Regions from separate parts of the Mus musculus genome. Here region 1 is reported to be linked to region 2. The links are microRNA targets in miRTarBase. Many come from high-throughput screens and were not tested one by one. Region 2 holds a microRNA gene; the other region holds the end of a gene's coding sequence.
What was found. The annotated mature microRNA mmu-miR-466e-3p reads UAUACAUACACGCACACAUAAGA and lies in region 2 at 1,294-1,316, opposite strand. An mRNA with a match to its seed (bases 2 to 7 or 8) in the 3' UTR can be bound and repressed. Matches are read on the target gene's strand: a 7mer-m8 pairs with bases 2 to 8, a 7mer-A1 pairs with bases 2 to 7 and ends in A, and an 8mer does both.

Region 1: miRTarBase lists Nrf1 as a target of mmu-miR-466e-3p. Seed matches in the 3' UTR shown: 8mer at 3,268-3,275, 8mer at 3,230-3,237 and 7mer-m8 at 3,200-3,206.

What each region holds. Positions count from the first base shown.
Region 1 is chr6:30,151,189-30,155,247 of GRCm38, reverse strand. Nrf1 (nuclear respiratory factor 1) reads right to left here. Exons shown (of 12, transcript NM_001164226.1): 12 at 1,790-3,734. The coding sequence ends at 3,571. Among named protein-coding and RNA genes, the nearest start is that of Mir182, 13 kb to the left of the region's middle.
Region 2 is chr2:10,471,516-10,475,583 of GRCm38, reverse strand. It overlaps Mir466b-1 (microRNA 466b-1), which reads right to left and starts at 1,365; the gene lies at 1,284-1,365. The region is part of intron 10 of Sfmbt2 (Scm-like with four mbt domains 2); the gene reads right to left. Mir669d-2 (microRNA 669d-2) reads right to left here and starts at 3,940; the gene lies at 3,855-3,940. It overlaps Mir466f-3 (microRNA 466f-3), which reads right to left and starts at 3,631; the gene lies at 3,538-3,631. It also overlaps Mir297a-2, Mir466o, Mir467c, Mir669a-3 and Mir669k.

The DNA of each region.
Region 1 (4,059 bases), not on the chromosome of region 2:
GGGGATGGACCCTGCTCTACAATGAAGCTGGGTTTCTTCTTGATAGGCACCCACCTACCCTGGGTTGTGCCTGAGCTATTCTTCCAGAGATCTCCTTAGCTTGGTCATGGGAGTGTAGGTGACTCCAGGAGTCACAGCACCACCAGGGGACACCTTGAGCTGCAAGGTCACCAAGCATTCCTAGACTGGCAGGCTTCTGTGAATCCGGTGGTGAGCTACATGGTGGATCCTTGTATCTACCACACTTATACTGCTCCGACCCTAGCAGGCCTCAGCACACGGAGCTGTAAGGACCTGTCCATGGTCTTCTCTTTCACATGTGCATGCCGGGGGAGTGCTCTGTCCCTGAGCTAAAGTCCTAGCCCCACTCTTCCTTCTCGGAGAACTGCCAAGTTTTAAAAAAACATCTATTCATTTGTGCTTGTATGCATATGTGCACGTGTACAAGTGTCTCGTCACATATGTAGAGGAGGTCAGAGGACAACCCCAGAGAATCAGTTCCATCCTGTGTGAGCTTCAGGAATTCAACTCTGGTCATCAGGCTTTTTGCCTGCCAAGCCACCGCACAGGACCATGCCAAACTTTATTTACCTGGGACATGCTAATATTCATGAATCTAACGTAATAGACCCTCAGGTCAGATCCATCTGACAAGATAGTTTGGTATGCCTGGATGTTTTATGCTGCTAATAAAATCAGATTTCATATAAAAACCTGACTTCTCCCATTTGCTGGGAATTTTGAAGGCAGCAAAGCCCATTTGTCTTTGGGAAAGGTGCCCGTCAGACAGCTGTTTGCCACTTTGTCTCATGCCCACCTCTACCCCACTGCGTCTCTTACTCACTGGACTTAGGTGGCTCTCCCTGGTCAGCTGCTTGGGGAGAAGTGACAGAGAAGCCATGCGCCAGCCCCTCGGGAGCCACAGCTCACGAGCTCTTGGGAAGGCACGGTCTGGGTTTGGCTTGTAAACCAAGGGAGCTAGCAGCAAGCATCCCGGGAAGGCTGAGTAGGAGGGTCTCTAGAGAAGCTGTGCTCTGCGCAGCCGCAGTCATTCCTTCCTGGCACATCCTCCCTGGTGAACGTGGATGGCGGTGTACCATCTATATAAAAAGGGATAGAAGCTGGTACTTGACAGTACTGAGCCAAGGCTAAGCCCCAAGGGAAACCGCATCCTCATTCGATGACTATAATCCCATCAGCCGGAGACATCTACAAACAAAAATGGCAGAGAAAGGCACTCAAGGGGAAGATGAGGCACAGCTCTTGAGGAGACATAGAGGCCGTGGGAAGGGCCCGAGTTAGGGCGTGGTGGGATCCAGCTGTGACACACACATTAAAACAGTGAGTGTGGTGTGTGTGAAACCAAGAAACAAGGATGCAGATAGCAACACAGGGCTTGGACCTTCTGCTCTGAAGACATTTCCTGCATCAAACACACTCACTCACTCACTTGGGAAGCCCTTTTAAGATGCAGGGGTCACCAAGGTCTTTTAATATGGTGCCAAATAAACACCTAAAACAGATTTCAGAGTAGAACCTTCAGACCACCTTGAGGCTTTCTGAAGTGCGACTGTTCCAGAGACCTGGTATACAGAAGACAGACATCCTCAGGCCTGGTGGGCTCACCCAGCACTCGGGAGCGGACAGGTCTCCTCCCTCCTGGAGTTCCTAGAGCGTGGTCCAGGCTAGAGACCTCTAGTGCATGTCTTTTGTAAAGGACAATGAGCCACACCCCAAAAGAGCCCTGTAGCCCAAGTGGCCAAGGCTGCTAGAGAGAGGGGCACTTTTTGTCGCCACATTAAACTATTTATTGAATGAGGCAGTTTAGACAGAATGGAGAACAACACAGATTCCATGCTCTGCTGCTGGGATCTTGCTTTTATCTTCTTGGCAATTTCTCAAACTATCGGGAGGCTTATTTCACCACAAAGGAACACGGGCCTTAAAGCCCCTGGACAGCTTCACAGTTTAAAAAAAAAAAAAAAGTAACCAATTGTAGAACCAGGACATTGATATGCAAATTTCCCACCCCTCCCTTATCACATACAGAAAAGAACATACAAAGAACATTGAATAGTTTTATATAAAACAAGCAAATATAAGAATTGGAAACTTTTCTCAAAGGCTGAGCAAGACATGAAGAATCTTTTAATGTCTCATTAAAAAACAAAAAACCAAAAACACCACATTAAATACACTATCACGCACGGGAGAGGGCTGGCAGGAAGGAGGAAGAGTCCCTGCACGCCAGGAGTGGAGATTTGGCTTGTCAAGACATCAGATGAATGAGCCACGGGAGACTCAGGGCTTGTGGCTGGAAAGCACAGAAGCTCACAGTGACAATGACTGCTCAGTGCAAGCCACACTGTGAGCAGGAAAGCTGTCCCAGGCCTGTGCCGCCAGGATGTGCCTGGGAAAAGTCCTCACAGAGTCTTCTGACACATCTGTGACGGCCAGCCTTTGCGCAGAGGTCCTGTGTGAGGCAGTCTCCTCTGCTGAAATACAGCTGCAGACAGCTGGAGAACACGGTTCCCACGGCGCACCCTGATTTATGAAGAGTTTTCTCCCTCCTTCCTATTTTGCTCTCCTATAATCTTCCCATTTTCTCCATTACTCATACACACACACACACACACACACACACACCCTGCACTTACACCCGCCTGCTCCATGAACACTCCTCAGACCCTTAACACTTCTGTCACCTTCAGTTTGTAACAGGACTGACCTTACAACCAAGCAACTCTTGAATAGTCGTGAGACTGAGGGTTCCTGGGAAGGGAGAAGATGGAGGCTGAGGAACGATTTCTTGCCCCTGCCAGGAGCCTGCAGGGCGTTTACCTGCCTGTGGCAAGGTCAGCACCTGGGCCAGCTGCCGTGTGTCTCTGCTGGCAAAGCGCACATGTGCGCACGCACTCTCTGTCCCTGGACTTCACAAGCACTCTCTGGACCACGCTGTGTCCTGGATCTTCCTTCCTTCGGTGAATCTAGCAGAGGTCTAGGCGGCCACTGGGAGGCAGCTTTGGTGAAGGACGTGGTCACCTCCGCCTGAGTCTGTCAGTAGCTCAATGCATGACCCTGGTATGAACGAAAACCAGGTGACTGTGTTTGGTCATGTACCCTACCACCCACGAATCTGGGTGGGTTCTTGTTCCCACAGTTCACCTTGATTTCATACAGGTAATTCCATGCAGGTTTCATACATATGTATGTATGTACATATATACTTTATACATATATGTAAATGTGTATGTCCATATGTACACATATACATATATTCACACTCACACGTACACACACGTAAGTATACACACATTTCTGCACAAAGAAGTCTGGCCACAATTTGGCTTTTTGGGACAGTGAAATCGGTGGCGTTCATTCCACCAGATCCCAGAGTGGTGCTTTAAAAAAGTGTGATTCCAAAATCTGCTGCCTTTCTTCCTTCTTAAAAAAAGGTTACCAAAACTTTCTTTCCAAGTCGAGAGACTTAATTCCATTTGATTGCACCTCTGCAAACATGTAAAAAATTCTGCAGTAGACTAGAAAACGCTGCCATGATAGAGCTCCATGCTACTGTTCCAAGGTCACCACCTCCACAGCCTGGCCATCCATGGTGACTGCGCTGTCCGATATCCTGGTGGTCACTGGGGCCATGGCCACCTGCACCGGCCCGTTGCCCTGGGCGAGGCTGGTTACCACAGTCTGGTACATGCTCACAGGGATCTGGACCAGGCCTGGAGAGACAAAGCAAGACCGTTGGTGGGGCCCAAGCTCAGGACCCAGGTGCTGGCTCGGGCAACTGGCTCTGGTCCTTCAGGGCATCACTGCCTGCCAGCCCCGGGCCACTGACTTACCTGCTTCCCAGACAGAGAAGTCTCAACTTTTTTTCCTTTCTTTTTAGAGACAAGGTCTTGCAATGCAGCCAGGCTGGCCCTCAGCTTTTGTTCCCTTGGCCTCAGCCGCCCAAGAGCTCAGACTCTGGGTGTGTGCCTGGCGCTGGGCAGTGAATCTCTCTTCTCACTTCATTTTAGTTCCTAGACTCTCGGGAAAGGAGTGTGG
Region 2 (4,068 bases):
ATGCATATTTATGTACAGAAGTAAATATGTACACAACTATACACACATGCAAAATCTTGGTGGGTATCACATGAATCGCATGCTGAACTCTAACACATCAAGAAGTTAAACATGAATTTGAACTCCTCATCTTCCTAGCTCTGGCAAGAGTGCTCACCTCCTAACTGAGATATAGCTCTGGCCATTCCTATGAATGTGTTTGCATGCGTGTATATGCATATTCATATAGAGAAGTGAATATGCACACAACTATACACACATGCACATTTTTGGTGGGCATAAGATGAATCCCATGCTGGTCATGAACTCATCATGAAATTCAGCACAAATTTGAACTCCTGATCCAACTGACTCTGTCAAGGGATTTCTCCTGCTGAGTGAGACCTCTCCCCATTCAGTACTGAGGAATCTTAAAACTCTAAGTCACACGTCATTCAAATGGATCGATGAGTTGCACTGATGTTTGTGTGTGTGTTTCTGTTTGTGTCTGTGTACATGTATATATTTGTGTAGATAGGTACAGCCATATACTCAAATCCACACACAATAGAAACAGATACAGATAGGGATACATAGGGGGCATCACATGAATCCCAGGCATATCTCTAAGTCATCATGAAGTAAAGCATGAATTTGAACTCCTGATCCACAGTCTTTCACACCTGGTGAGTAAAACCATTCACTGTCCCACTACTGCATAATCTTGAAAACTTTAAGTCACATATCATTCAAATGTATAAATGAATGCAATTTTTCCTGTGTGTATGTGCTTGCATATACACGTGTGTTTTTGTTATGTATATTCATGTCAACACATGCAATGCACATACAAGTAAGCACACATGCACATACATGGGTGGCATCACATGAATACCAAGATAATCTCCAAATGAAGTTAAGCATGAAGTTGCAATCCTTATCCTCCTGACTTTGTCAATCTTTTACACCTGGTGAGTGAGTCCATTCAATGTCCCCTATTGCATAATCTCTAAAACTCTACATCACTTATCATTCAAAGGGATTGGCGAATGCCATTCCTGTGTCTGTGTATGTGTGCTTGCGTTTATACATGTGTGTGTATGTTATGTATATTCAAATATAGACATGAACATGCACACACAACTATACACACATGCACATACATGGAGGAATCACAGGCTGATCTCTCATGAGGATAAGTATGAATTTGAACTCCTGATACTCTTAACTCTAGCAAGCATTTTCACTCTAAGTCACTTATCACTCAAATGGATTGATGAGTGCCATTCCCATGTGTCTGTGTGCTCATATGTGTCTTATGTGTGCGTGTATGTATATGTATATCATATTCACACATGTACATGTACACACACATCAACACATACACACATTCATAGGGGCAATCACATGAATGCCAGGATGACCTCTAACTCATCATGCCTTTACCATGAACTTGCACTCCTGATCTTCCCGACTCTACCAAGGGTTTTCCCGTGGTTTGTGAGACCTCACCCTGGCCCAGTCATACATAACCTCCAAAGCAGTAGGTCACATATCATTCAAATGGATCCGTGAGGGCCATTCTCGCATGTCTGTGTGCATGTGTGTATAGGTGTGTGTATGTATATGCATAAAATATACACACATATACATGCACGCACTTATGCACAAAGGCACATGCATAGGGGCCATCACATTATTCCAGGATGATCTCTAACTGCTCATGAAGTTAAGCATGAATTTGCACTCCTGAGACTCCTAACTCTGGCAAGCAGTTTTCATCTGGTAAGTGAGATGTTTTGCTATCCCATGAATATACACTCAATGAAACTCTAAGCATGCATAAATCAAATGGATGACTACCATGTGTGTTTGTGTGCACATGTATGTGTCCATATGTGTGTGTATATGTGTATGTATGTATGTATATATATATATATATATACACATATATATATATATATATATATGCATGTTCATATACCCACATTTACATGCACACGTACCTATACACATATACACATACACGGGGACAATCACAGAAATTCCAGGCTGTTCTCTAACTCATCATGAAGTTAAACATGAATTTGAACTCCATATTCTCCTCCCTCTGGCAACAATATTCACCTCCTAACTGAGACATAGTTCTGGCCATTCCTGTGAGTATGTGTGCATACAGCTATGTGCATATTCATGTAGAGAAGTGAATATGCACACAGCTATACACACATGCACATTCTTGGAGGGCATCACATGAATCGCATGCTGATCTCTACTCATCATGAATTAAATATGATTTTGAACTCCTCATCCTCCTGACTCTGGCAAGAGTACTCACCTCCTAACTGAGCCATAGCTCTGGCCCAGTACTGCATAAGCTCTAAAGCTCTAAGTCACATACCATTCAAAAGGATATATGAGTGGCATTCCTGTGCGTGCATGCGTGTATATGCATATTCATATAGAGAAGTGAATATGCACACAACTATACACACATGCACATTCTTGATGGACATCACATGAGTCGCATGCTGAACTCTAACTCATCATGAAGTTAAACATGAATTTGTACTCCAGGACCACCTGACTCTGGCAAGGGATTTCACCTGCTGAGTGAGACCTCTCCCTATTCAGTACTGCAGAATCTTAAAACTCTTAGTCACACGTCATTCAAATGGATCGATGAGTTGCATTCATGTTTGTGTGTCTGTGTACATGTCTATGCGTGTGTAGATATGTATATTCATATACACAATCCACACACAGGTACACGCATGTACACATACATGGGGGCATCACATGAATCCCAGGCAGATTTCTAAGTCATCATGAAATAAAGCATGAATTTGACCTCCTGACCTCCTGATTCTAACAAGCATTTTTAATATGATGGGTGATAACTCTCCCTGACCTAGTCACACATAATCTCCAAAGCTCTCAGTCACATAGATTGATGAGTGAGTGCCATTCCTGTGTGTCTATGTGCTCATATGTGTCTTATGTGTGCATGTATGTATATCATATTCACACATGTACATGTACACACACATCAACACATACACACATACATAGGGGCAATCACATGAATGCCAGGATGACCTCTAACTCATCATGCCTTTACCATGACCTTGAACTCCTGATTATCTTGACTCTGGCAAGGGTCTTTACTTGGTGAGTGAATCCTCTCCCTGGCCCAGTCATACAGAATCTCTAAGACTCTAAGACACATATCATTCAAATAGATCGATGAGTGGCAGTTTTGGGTTTGTGTGCATGCTTGTATGGGTATGTGCGTATGTATATGTATACTCATATACACACATGCACATGCACACATACATATACACACAGGCACATACACTGGGGGCATCACATGAATCAGAAGCTGATCCCGGACTCAACATGAAGTTGAGAATGAATTTCGACTCCTGATCCTCCTGACTCTGGCAAGATTTCCACCTTGTGAGTGAGAGCACTCACTGGCCCAGTACTACATAATCTCTAAAACTCTAAGTCACATATCATTCAAATGAATAAATGAGTGTCGTGTGTGTGTGTGTGTGTGTGTGTTGCGTGCGTGTGTATGTGTGTGTGTATGTATACATATATTCATATACACACATGCACATGCACACACACGTAAACACACATGCACATACATGAGGGGCATAACATGAATGTCTGGATGATCACTAACTGAAATTGAGCATGAATATGAACTCCTGATCCTCCTGACTCTGTCAACAACTTTCACCTGGTGAGTGAGACCGTTCATTGACACACTACTGCATAATCTATAAGACTCTAAGTCACATATCATTCAAATGGATCAATGAGTGCCATTCCTGTGTTTATGTTTATGTTTTTGTGTTTCCGTGCATGCGTGTGTATATGGGTGTGTATGTATATGTATATTCATATAGACACATATACATGCACACACAAGTATACACACATGCACATATATAGGGGGCATCACATGAATCCAGGATGATCTCTTACTCCTCATGAAGTTAAGCATGATTTTCAACTCCTATACCTCCTGACTCTAACAAGGGTTTTCACCAGGTGTGTGAGAATTGACACTGG